3 linked regions of the Oryzias latipes genome follow. The protein of the gene in region 3 purifies or fractionates together with the protein of the main gene of each other region. This does not show direct contact. Links are inferred from orthologs where the notes say so. Each region holds a gene or a part of one and is shown on either strand. Other genes may lie near its edges.

Region 1 (4,083 bases), on a different chromosome or scaffold from region 3:
TTGTTGTTTCCCCTGACTGATTACACATTACAGACTACTGTTTTTTATTTTAGATCAGATACAAACACTAAATATGGGTGAATATGAACTTGTTTCACTATTGATCAAATGTCAGTAAATTATTTTTCCGATTAACAGATGATTTTCATGAACCCAGTTTTATGGGACAGCACGTAGTAGAGATTATATATCAATTTAACCTGGGATTAACTGACTATAAGAACAAAGGTTCCCTATCGAGGCCCCCCAACAGCTGTTGTTGGCATGGTGACAAGCTCACCGTGACCGTCAGTCTGAAAATAGTGTGTAAACATTTACCTGTAATCTGACGTTAAACACCATTGAGGCTACCAAGTAAAAGTAGGGGAATCGTATTCTCAGCCGCCATGCGAGATCAAAAAATATCAACAAAGTCCTCGTCAAGCCTTTGGAGAATAGTCCGTAAGTCCGACCAGCGGAGCCCGAAAACCGGAGCACCAGATACGAAAGACTCGCCATAAAAGCCCAACCCTGAGCGCTGTGTTCTTGGCTTACAAAGGCAACAGGCAAGGGGACGCTACAATGGCTGCAAGTGTTGGATGAAGCTCCATTCTTCTATCTTTCACCCTCAACGAGCTCCGTCTTTTGCTGCCGTTGTACTGGCATCTACTCCACCCTGTTAGTTTTCTACCGAGGACAGACATCGCTGCGACACACGGAAGTGCAGTAAAACCAGGATTAAATAAAACCCCGAGTAAAGACTGAAAGGACTTCCAGATCTGGGTGGTGGCTAAGGAAAAAAAAAACACGTCCTAGACACAACTACTATGGTTCTCATAAAACTAAACAAACAGAAACATAGAAGAGGTTTTTTGAGTTACTAAATATGTATATATGTTGTTTTTGCACCATTACAAAACCAGGTAAATTGGTTTGTTTTCCAGAAGTTCACTACACAAAAAATCTTGAACTGAAGCAAAGTACTACAGACTTTTTGGAAATACAATGACCAACTAATCATTGATTGTGTTACATTTTTGAAGCTAAATATCTTTGTCGTATTAGAATAGGCACACATTGACTTTTTTTTTCTTTTACTACTTTATTTTTTAATACAGTGCATGTTTGCTGGTATGGTATAATTGAATTTATCGTGGTGTAGGGGTGGGAGAGCAAGCTATCCTTCCATCTCCAAAAAAACTTTTTCAGCCTGAAAGGCATAATTCAGGGAAATTAAACAACACACCAAAAATTCCATTGTAATCGTAAATGAACCGTAGACGCGTCAAAACTGACGTCAGTTCCACCCTAGGTGTCACACCGTAAATATTCCGTCTTCGACGATTTCTTTTATTTTGTTTTCATTAAACCAAAATGTAATATTTTAGTTTTCAAATGTTATTTATATATAACTTTAAGCTTTATATTTAAGACCAGAGTAGCTGACCCTTTTTTTTACTACTAGTTTGAGGCTATCTTTTCTTTGGTTAAGGTGTCTGTGGGCGTGCGCCGGATGCCCTATCTTGTAGAGCTGGCTTCATTTTTTTTTCTCTTTAGCTATAGGGGTGGTGGCCGCTGTTTTGCTCCATAACTCATAGAGCAGCTCACGAAAGCATGGGAATGTTGCCAGGGAATTTCTGAGTTTAGTTGACCTAAAGTCCGAATTGAGTCGCCGCAACTTTATTTTCTAACAAGCCGTTCTCCGTTTAGAAAGTTTTGAGTTAGCGCGGTCGACTGTTAGCAAAGACTGTTGGGTAGTTTCACTTGAGAGGAGTTGCGGACAAAGGACAAGCTATCCGAGCTAACGTTAACTGGCTCTGGGCTAACTTAGCATTCCTGTAGCTGCGGCGCAATGCAGGCCATAAAGTGTGTCGTTGTTGGAGACGGGTAAGTTGAACCTAACTAAACTCACTGTGATATTTAACATTTAATCGACAGTTTTGGTATCAAACCCTGAAACCGCCAGTGATGTCGAAAAGTTGTCATTCGACATAAATGTTGCGTCTTATTTTTGGAGTTGTAAAGTTAGCCAAGTTATCGGTTAAATATTGGACTTTCAAGTTCTTTTCTTTTTTTTTCGAAATGTACAACATTTTGTATTGCATTTGTTTTTCCCCTGATATTACCGTTCTGGATCCAATGTTCCAGATTTTTTTATTTATTTACGCCAAAATCAGTGAATAGAGTTAGATTGATCTTAGATTTGTTTTGAAGTTATTTTTGAACAAAATGGGCAAAAATTATATGTACTTTTTCGAAGAGTTGAAATTTGTTTCTTCTTCTGTTGTATTGACACGGGCGTGTTTTTGTGTTACACAATAGTTAAATTAGTAGGTTTAGTTTGCAATATTTTAAAGACAGGATTGTCAATGAGCTAATATTGAAAGTCTGACTGATGTGTAATATGCTAGAGGTAAACACACTTGTAACGTCTTGTCGAGGGTGCGGCTGGTCCCACCGCAGCGGAGTCGTCCCTCGACCTCTCCGACTTTTGTTTTGTTTTCCGTTCCGACTTGAAGAAACTCTAAGGCACCAGTTCTCTTTAAAGTTTCAAAAGTTTAAAATATCTGCTTACTCATCAACTAGCCTGGAAGAGAAAAAAAAACCTTATTTCCTGAAATCAGTGCACTCATTCTATCAGGAGTGCTTCAATAAAACTGACATTACCTACGAGATGATAATAAATGATTAACTGGCAATTATTGATTTTTGATATTGGATTATTTTGATCCTGCTTTTATCCTACGGATGATAATGTGACTCTCAGACTTCCTCCTTTCAGTTTGTTAAAAACCAAACTTTGCGTAGTGTCCACATTTAACTTGAAACTATATTTTTAATGGTTGTAATTATTTCAAGTAACTTTGATGTTATTAAATAAAATGCTTGGACTGTTTTTAGCTTTGTAAATGTAAAATAATCGAACAACTTAAGCCTGACTTTAATGACAGCTTGTATATGTTTTATTTTCCTGAATTCTGAACATAACATTTCTCTTATTCAGTGCTGTGGGTAAGACATGTCTACTCATCAGCTACACCACCAATGCCTTTCCAGGAGAGTACATCCCCACAGTGTGAGTGTTTATTTATTCATAATGGCTAAGCTGTCTGTCATTCTTCTTCTGGACAGTTGTTGCTTAACTGTGTCTTTGTTTCATTTCTTCAACTGGTCTTATGGGGGAATATTAGTTTCCTTGTACATAAGAAGTCACTTTCTTTTTTAACAGGCAGCTGTTTGGGTTCAGAGAAGCATTTGTTATGTAAAATTACCAGAAGTGCAACCAGCTAGTTTATTTTCTTAGTTGTGGGATCTGTGGCTTTTTGGGAATTTGTCACTCAAAACACTTTGGTTCATTCTGATTATTTATAAATGTACATTCTGCTTTTATTCTGATTCAAGAACAAGCTGAAAACATGTACTGCTGATGAACAAGGCTTTGATTTTTGACCCCCAAAAAACCTGTTTGATTTATCTAATGATCATAGAAATTCAGAAATATGTAGCAAGGCTTGAATGACATAACTGAGTTTTTATGAATGCTTGATTCTCACAGGTTTGATAACTACTCTGCCAATGTTATGGTGGATGGGAAGCCGGTGAACCTGGGCCTTTGGGATACAGCTGGACAAGAAGACTACGACAGACTCCGCCCACTTTCTTACCCACAGACGGTACAATGACAAAAATAGTCAGACAAGGTGTTATTTAGTTGATAACTTTTATAAATAATTAATTGGGAGCATTTGTGGTATTCAAATGTAGAAGAGGGTTTTAAAGAAAGTTAAACAGACCACCTTAGCGATAGGTTATTTATTTTTATTTATTTTTTGCTCAACAGGAAATGAATTTCATGGACTCTGAACCTTTTTTGTCTTTGTCTTACAGGATGTGTTCCTCATCTGCTTCTCTCTTGTGAGTCCGGCCTCATTTGAAAACGTCCGTGCCAAGGTTAGTGGTGCCTGAGCAAAAAACACTAATAATACAGATGTGAACACGTTGACTTTTTTAATGTTGGTAATTAAAATACAGACCTGTGTTTTTTCATATACAGTTTATTTTTATTTTTTTGTAAAAAAAAAAAAAGTGTATTTAAAGAACAAT
Region 2 (4,080 bases), on a different chromosome or scaffold from region 3:
CTTTCACACTCACACACACACACACTCAGACTTACTGAGGCTGATTGTTTTTCTTTGCGTTGCCATAGAAAAGTTAAACATTTCAGTCTGTTGCACGAGTGAACTAAACTATGACTCATGCCGCCCCCTCCCAGTTATCTGGAGCATATGCTCGCACAGCGAGGCTCCTCCCACCGTCTGAAACGCACGTGTTCTCTCTGACAGACATCAGGGATGACCTCAGGATCCCGCCGTGGTCTACAACCTGGAGGAGCCTCATTTACTTTCAAAATAATGGTCCTTCCTGGCAGCAGGGGATGCTTAGGAGTTTGTATTACTTGTTCATGATGTAAGTTGGGGGAGGGACTGACTTTCTCTCAGCTGCATGATCAGCCTGATCAGTCTGACGGGGGCATCCTGAGTTCATCGGCCAAAGTAAGCTCAGGAATCCAAGCAGACAGGTAATTTACCTCTCAGCTGTGACCCACAACTGTGTCATGACGGTGAACGCACATCATCGGCCTGATCACATGAGCTCGCTTGGTTAAGAAAACCAACGTTCTCTCTTGTTTCTACACATTTATTTTAGTCAAAATCCTCCAAACTAAAAGTTTTCCGTTCCATATTGAGATGAAGATTATTCAGTGATGTTTCTGGGCAAGTTTAATAAAATCCTCACAATACAGACATACTCTCCTGTAAGCTCCTCCCACTACAAACAAGCCACTCCCTCTAGCCCCGTCCAGTGGCATTGGTTTATTCTGCACTGTCAGAATGTTTGAGCCCTCCTGATGGTGACATAAAGATGTGACCCGCCCTACCTGCCCACCTAACCATGAGCCGCATTTAAAGGGGGGTGTCGGGTTTCCACCTCCCCGAGGAGGAGGAGGAGGAGGAGGAGGAGGAGGAGGAGGAGGAGGAGGGAAAACACCAAATTCCCTTCTGTAGAGACAAGCAGATTTGGTCCAACCATATTTACAGGCTTACTTCTTCCGTTAGAGAGAATGTAGTTTGAGTCCAGACTGACTGTTCTGACCAACCAGTGCCTGACTGAGAGGGGGGGTTACTGAGTCTGCCCCCCCCCCCTGAAAAAGCAGTCAAACTGAAGCTGTATCTATGCTATGACCAGTGCAGCTCAAGCAAAGGGGAAAAAAAGACTCAATTCCATCTGTTTGGACCAGAAAGGACAAAACTGTTGCTCGTAGGAGGCTGGCTCTCCTGCAGAGGGAGGGACCGGGTGTTCAGAGGGCATGGAGCTTTATTCACCACACAAACACACACACACACACACACACTTACACACACACAGAGAGGCTCGGCAAAACTGCTCCCAGGCCCAGAGAAACAGAGGGGAGCAGAGGAGGACGACACGCTTGCTGGGTAAGTTGTTGGCTCTCAGAGAAAGGGGATTCTGACGGCGTTCCTGAGTCTTTCCAGTGGTGTGTGTGCGTCTTCTCATGTTGACTCTCTGCTGATGTGAAGCTCAGGGCAGACTCACAGACAAACACTGAAGAGGCCAGAAAAGAGAAGAGGGCATCAGAATGTAAAAAGAGGAATGCTGGGGCAGTTTTTGGAAAATTCCAACACGTTAAGCTGAGCTACAAGTTCGTGTGCTATCTGATTTCAGAGGCTCTCAGCCTCTCACTTCATGCCTTTGTGCTTCCTTGTTCTCATCCGCTGACTATTCCAGACCGTCAGACTTGCTGAGGAACCACGGGGGGGCAGATGCCGTCACCAACCAAACCCCTGACAGCGAGGAGGTTTCCAACAAAAGACGCACCGACCGACCGCAGTGGAGATACAAACAGTCTAGGATGAGCCTCCGGATGTCCAGGAGGAGGTCCACAGGTGACCTGGTGCCAAAGGACATCACTGAGATCTTAGCCAGAGAAGCAAAGGCTCAGCGTGGACAGAAGACGCAAGCACGGTCTCTGGGTCAGGCCTTCAACTGGCTGAGGAGAAGTAAGAGGAAGAAGAAGAGCACCGGACCTAACCGGGCTTTCAACGACGTGACAGAAAACACCGCTGAACTTCAGAACCACGACGAAGGTCAGAGAAACTCTTCTGGCTCATTTTGGGGTCTTTAAATGATCATTTCAAGATATTTTTTTAATGTAATGGAAGTTTATTCTAAGCTCCAGAGAAACCTGTCTTATGTACTCTCAGACAATATTATGAAGTATTCTTACCTATTTTTAGAAGGTTTCTGGATGTTTCTGAGTGTCAGACAGAGCGCTGTTTGCTCTGTGGGGGGGGGGGGGGGCACCTGTGGTTCGTCCCACAGGTGTCTGCTCAGGTTGAGGTCAAGAGTCAGTCAGGTTCTTCCGTTCTAAACTCATTCACCTTTATGGACCTGGATGTTCAGCAGGAGAACAATGAGGAGAGCCCCCATGTTTTCTCATGTTTGCTGGTTTGCTGGAGGATTGAGAGCTTCTAAAGCAGTCCCATACCATTACACCACCTCCACAAGCCCACCCTGCTGGCTCAGTGGGGTTAGCAAGCACCAACCGCTGTTCACTCGCCAAATGTAAACATCGGAGAAACGTGATTATTTCCACCCCAATGCTCCTCGGTCTGGTGGTTCTCCATCATGAGCAGAAATGAGGTTCCCAGCACACAGTTCTGTTTACACCAGTGTAAACCAGTTTGGACCCTTCCTGATCAGTGGAGTGGTTCTCCTTTGAGCTGTTGGCTTTAGTGGTGACTGGTTCCATTTAAACTCGTCTGCATCTTCTCTTCTCACACCCACTCCGGCTAACTGTTTCCTTCAACCACATTTGTAAATCTCCTCTTTGCCTTCATCTTCATCACTTCCGTGTTCAGCATCCTCCTCCTCTCTGCCCGTCTTCCTTCGTTGCTCCCTGTAGAATGCTGGAGACTTTTCAGCGCCACGTATATGAACATAAATGTTGTGATCCTCAAACACTTTCAAGATGACAGGAACAACAGAAAGCCTAAACCAGTGATGATTGGCTGCTTCAAAATCCCTCATCTCAGCAGACGTTAGTCTCCCACACAGTTTTCTCCCTCGGCAGGATGAGCTTCTCACCAAAATGTTTCAAAGGAGCCTCCCTTTGCTAACTTCTGACAGTTCTCCCAGAGCGATAAGCTGCAGAAGAATCTGCTTTTCTCCTGGATTCAGACGGAAAGTCACAACAGAATTACAGCTCAGGACATCTATGACTCTGTGAAAATCCCACACAGAGGATTTGAATTCCTTCTTTTTTATTTACTGATGCATTCAACCCCCCCCCCCCCCCCCCCCCCCCCCCCCCCCCCCCCCCCCCCCCCCCCCCCCCCCCCCACCGTCCATCCATCCACACTTCCTGTTTTTGCTCCGTCTGTGACCCGGCTCTTCATTCTTTTCTCTTCACCCCTCGCCGTGTGCATGTGTGTGTGCATGTGTGTGCATGTGTGTTTGTCCATGTGTGTGTGCGCATGTGTGTGTGCATGAGGCAGGGTGGTGAGGGAGGTGGCCACTGCCTGGATGGACAATAATGTTTGTTCGTATTTAGCTAAATATTCCATGAAGCATGGATTCTGTAAGGAGGAGCAGCGCTCCGACAGAGGATGTGGTTGAAAGCGGATCTTCCGTTCTGCAGGAATGCTGCATTTTTTGGCATCTATGTTGTGAGTTTACTGTTTTGAATTCAAGCAGACCTCGGTGAAGCAGAATCACACAAACCTCTGTCTGGTCCAGAAGAGTCAGACAGAAAAGTGTTTTTATGCCTAATGATCATTTTAACTCCTCTTTAAGTTCTTGAAAGTGACACACATTTTTAAATGTTATTGGTGTCAGTAGATTGACTTTGTGGATTAAGATTAGATTGAGATTACGTTTTCGTTTTTCTTTTCTTTTCTTTTTTTAGTTTAGTTTAGTTTAGTTTAGTTTAGTTTAGTTTAGTTTAGTTTAGTTTAGTTTAGTTTATTCGTGTTTTTAATTCCAAAACAAATACAACTTGAACCAGGGTGGGCTGCATGGTGGTGTAGTGGTTAACACTCTCACCTCAAAGTGAGTCTGAATCCCTGCTGAGTTCTTTCTGTGTGATTTTTGCGTGTTCTCCTCTGTCATGCATGGATTTTCTCCAGGTACTCTGGTTT
Region 3 (4,363 bases):
CGGCAGACATTTTGAATGTTGTGAATTTACCGGAAATCCGAGGGCGGGACTACCGGTTACAAAATTATTCAACTTTCATTTAAAAAAATGTAAAAACTCGTTATATCAAAAATTAGGACAATTTTAAAGTTATGAGTGTTTACCAATTATAATGCGGGTACCATGCTTGTAAGACTAATATATTTTATTTATTTATCTATTTATAACATGCATAATGTGACGTAGCACATAAACATGTTTATAGACATGCTATTTTTTTAATTAAAAAATATTAAGCAATGGGTCTTACAGCTGACCAAAATGTATTTTTTCCACAACAGTGAGATCATGAAAAACTAACAAAATGTACTGTTTTCCTTTCTCATTGCAACTTTAAGCTTTTTTTCCCCAATGCACTAAACACAATTTTTAGCCATGTGTTCTGATCAATTTCATTGACTATTTTGTTCTTCTTTTTTGTGTGTGTTTTAGGAGTTTTTTTTCTCCTCAAAAGAACCATTAACTTAACAAATGACAATTGCTTTTTTTTTTAAACTAAACTTTAGGCCTTCAACAAGAAACTGAAACAGGGCATTAGTTACACTCCAGCGTTTATGACTCAAGTGTTGCTAAAGGTAACTGTAGGAAATAGCTCACAGGCGTCCGTAGTTAATCTTTCTGAGATTAAAGTCAGAATTCTGAGAAGAAAAAAAGTCAGGATTCTGAGAAAAAAGTCAAAATTCTGAGATTAAAGTCGAGATTTTCTTTGCCCTTTTTCTCTCTCTCTGTCTGTCCATGGTCCCAAGCCTCTTCTGTACAAGTTAAATAGGATCAGAATAGATCCAAGGGTTCTGGTTCTTACAGCGCCTACAAAACACTGCAGTCAGCAGCAAGCCTGCAAAAATAAAAGCACGCCATGAATCCATTGAAATGTGTAATTTGCATAATTAAGAATGACACATTTATACTTGAGCAATATTGCCTATCTGTTGTATTATAACACAGTTTGCAACTACTACTTTTTTTTGGCATGTATGAGTCTGTAACACAGAGTTATGCAACAATTTCCCTAAAAAAGTGAAGAAAATACAACATAAAGTCAGAAAACATTGGCATATGATAAGAATATATTATAATAATGTTTTCAACCAATTCTAAAGAAATGTGGATAATGTATATTCTGTGTAATCACTGCTAAGTGGAATGTAACTAAATAGTCCCCATTTGTTTTATTAAGCATATAGTTTTTAATTTATACTTTTATGAACAAAACACATTCTAAGAATTTATTTCAAATATGCACAACATTATAACTATTTTTAAAATCTATATTTTATTTTTTAGGTTTCTGTTTTTAACAACTTTTCTGGCGCACTCCCAGTTACAGACGGTTTCTCACTCCTCAACAATGGAGTGGCTCATACCATTACAAGACCGAAACGGGGGCGTTTTCTCCTCAATGAATGCCACATCACGGTCGTAACCTCGAATAAACAACAAAAACTAAAAGTTTTTAAATTAAGGTAATGTTTTGATGTTATAAAACCTGACGCTGTTTTAGATTAGCACGATTTCCCTGTAGTTGCGCCGAATTCCAGCCGGAAAATCCCTTAAAAAATGCAGCTGGATCCTTCTTCGCCGCCGCCTCTTCCAGCAGGAGAGCATTGGATATGAGAGACGGCACAACCATGGATGTAACACGGGGATTTAAATTCTTGGACACGGCGGCACGCTTTGCTTCTTGGTGAAGATGGGAAGAAAATCAGCGGGATTTTAAGGATCATTTTGAGGTAGCATCGTGGCTTTATTGTGACTTCATTTTTTTTCTTTCTTTTTTTTAACTGACAAACGGACTTAAAATGTATTTAATTCCAGCAAGTTAGAAGCAGAGTCAGTCACCATGTTGTAGAGCGTAAACCGGGGCTGTCTTCTTGGCAATAACGGTAATTCAACACTGCCTGGCCATCACTGACTCACGTCAACTCAGCACACAGGTGACTGTAATGCAGAGTGGTCAGATGTGGATTATTCTTAAAAAGTACACGCGTGATCATGCGTATTTACCAGTAAAAGGGCACTTTTTTGATGGGATAACTCCACATCTGCAAGGGCTCCTGCTGCAGAGTCTGAGGATATCATTCGAGGGGGGGGGGGGGGGGGGGGAAGCAAATATTTGCAAAGCCCCATAAATGATCCTTTATTCCCCCCATCTGTGGTGTGTTCACGGGGAAAGGGATATCAGAGTTTCAGTTTAGTACAGTGTGGTAATGACCCCCCCCCCCCCCCCCCCTCCTAGAGCGCACTGACTTGGGGGCTGGGGACTGTTCCAGTCCAGGCAGCTCGGTTTGTACACTGTCGTGGGGGGGCGGGGGATGGTAGATTGTGGTGAAAATTATGGTTTGTGAAATTTGAAACCTTGGTGCAACACCAATGGCCGAGGAACAATGTTTTTACACAGCTTTACACGACAGTTTGAAGATCTCTGCATTGTATTATGTCATATGTGGCATTTCTTATGGATCCCATTCATAGATTTTTTTTCTTAAATGTGTATTGCATGCAAATTTCGGGATGTGAGTCCTTTTTAAACACCTGTGTGATGTGCAGTATATTATTAAAGGTTGTCCGTGTTGTTTTAAATGTATGACTGATGTAGAATGAATCATCTCTTGAGGCATTGGCTGCAGAGCTCGTAATGTTCCCACACTGCTGGTCCTTGTGCTTACGCCGCTGGATTTTTGAGTGTTGGAAGCAGAGACCAGTGATGATTAGCCAATCGTCCTCCTGATATTTAAAAATTCATCTCTTTCTCTCATCTAAATCATTTAACAGCTTAGTTTAGATCACTTTTCCAATAGAATAAATCCTTAAAATGCAGCGAATTCCCCAGAATTGGATGAATAAACCTACTGCACTTGCATTTAATCAAATAATGTCAGTTTAAGTGATGCATTATTCAAGAACTACAGTGGCTACTGAATGTGAAAGTGCCTCGGACTACTACTGGATAACCTAGATCTCTTATTTCCATAGAGGAATCATGCATGTGCGCAGAACGGACTGCCGGGTTTTGAAATTGTTGCAGATGTTTGCAGTAGACGTGATTGTTCCCTCTCAGCTCTCTGTGGATTTACTCATAGATGTTGTAGTGTGGATTTGCTGCGCTGTGACATCAACTCTTTGATGCATAATCAATACAGTACACGCACAGCCTCATGCACCCAACTGCCCCATTTGCAGGTACCGTCAAGGTTTCATGAAAAATGTCTATATATCCATATTTTCTTGTTGTGTACAGCATGTGGGGTGTAGATGCAAGCAGAGTGTGGCATACAGTATTTTCGAAGTATAAGTCACAATCTATTGCTAAGTTTGGCCAGGGGTGAAACTCATACTCAGGAGCGACTAATATGCAATTTTTAAAATATAAATATAGGCTCATATATTTGTTGTTTTTCCACAAACAACCGATTGTGTGTATGATACACACACTATAGGATAACATTGAGAGATACACACACTATAGGTGTGTAACAGTATTTGCTACTGACAGCAACAGCGAAGAATAAACACAGTCCAAAACAGAAATGGAGGAGAATCTGATTGTTCTCTTCCTGACCTTTATGATATATTATTTAATGGCATGAAGACATTAGTGGAAATTTTTTTGCGGGACTGCAAGCAAGTCATCAGACTGGGTTACAGAGACATGGAAGTATTGCTGAAAGTGCCATAATTCTGGTTCCTGCGGTAGAACGTAAAGATCGGCGTAGAAAAAAACCCGAAACAGAATGATCCCATGAAGACCTGACCTCTCAATATTATCTGTGTCTTTTGTGGATTCTAAAGTTAAACTATCTGTCACACCTAGGTTCTCCGCATTTGACCCATCCTCAGGGGGAGCAATGAGCTGCAGACTCGGGAAGGTGGCTTAACCCCCCAATCCAACCCCTTAATGTGTCCCTTAATGGGTTCCATTTTTAAAGTCTTTGGTATGACTCGGCTTGGGTTTGAACCTTCCAGTTACAGGGCGGACACTCTAACCACAAGGCCACTGAACTGGTTATAACCCAGATATACTGTACAATCAATGCTTCCATGTAGCGATGAGGCTAAAAACTTGACTGTAGCGTCTCCATCACATTTGATGTATGAAATGCATTTGACCGGGCTTGTTAGATTTGTTCAAAAGTGTATAGATTTTCTCCAAAATGTACGACTTGTGTTTTTTTTAATGCTTTTTTTTTCTTGCTGCTGGGATTTATACTCTGGGACGACCTATACTCCTGAAAATACGGCATATCCACTTTTAGTTTTTGCTCCTGCATATTTGACACTGCTCATAGTTTTTAGTGTGAGAAAGTCGTTTTTTGGCGTGGCTTCT

The links.
Region 1: the proteins of wasf1 (region 3) and ras-related C3 botulinum toxin substrate 1 purify together in Homo sapiens (affinity purification with western blotting; 3 studies listed by BioGRID and IntAct, with this or other methods). This does not show direct contact. The link is inferred for Oryzias latipes from reciprocal best matches to the Homo sapiens genes WASF1 and RAC1.
Region 2: the proteins of wasf1 (region 3) and uncharacterized protein KIAA1522 homolog purify together in Homo sapiens (affinity purification with mass spectrometry; 3 studies listed by BioGRID and IntAct, with this or other methods). This does not show direct contact. The link is inferred for Oryzias latipes from reciprocal best matches to the Homo sapiens genes WASF1 and NHSL3.

The regions. Positions count from the first base shown.
Region 1 is NC_019866.2:11,732,838-11,736,920, reverse strand, and holds the start of ras-related C3 botulinum toxin substrate 1, read left to right. Parts: upstream 1-1,283; 5' UTR 1,284-1,831; coding exon 1,832-1,866; intron 1,867-2,983; coding exon 2,984-3,055; intron 3,056-3,535; coding exon 3,536-3,653; intron 3,654-3,867; coding exon 3,868-3,930; intron 3,931-4,083. UniProt on the Homo sapiens protein: Plasma membrane-associated small GTPase which cycles between active GTP-bound and inactive GDP-bound states.
Region 2 is NC_019869.2:25,726,196-25,730,275, forward strand, and holds the start of uncharacterized protein KIAA1522 homolog, read left to right. Parts: upstream 1-1,184; 5' UTR 1,185-1,359; intron 1,360-1,669; 5' UTR 1,670-1,793; coding exon 1,794-2,028; intron 2,029-4,080. UniProt on the Homo sapiens protein: Able to directly activate the TNF-NFkappaB signaling pathway.
Region 3 is NC_019882.2:8,074,546-8,078,908, reverse strand, and holds the start of wasf1 (wiskott-Aldrich syndrome protein family member 1), read left to right. Parts: upstream 1-1,464; 5' UTR 1,465-1,769; intron 1,770-4,363. Other genes in the region: cdc40 (pre-mRNA-processing factor 17), read right to left, coding at 1-10.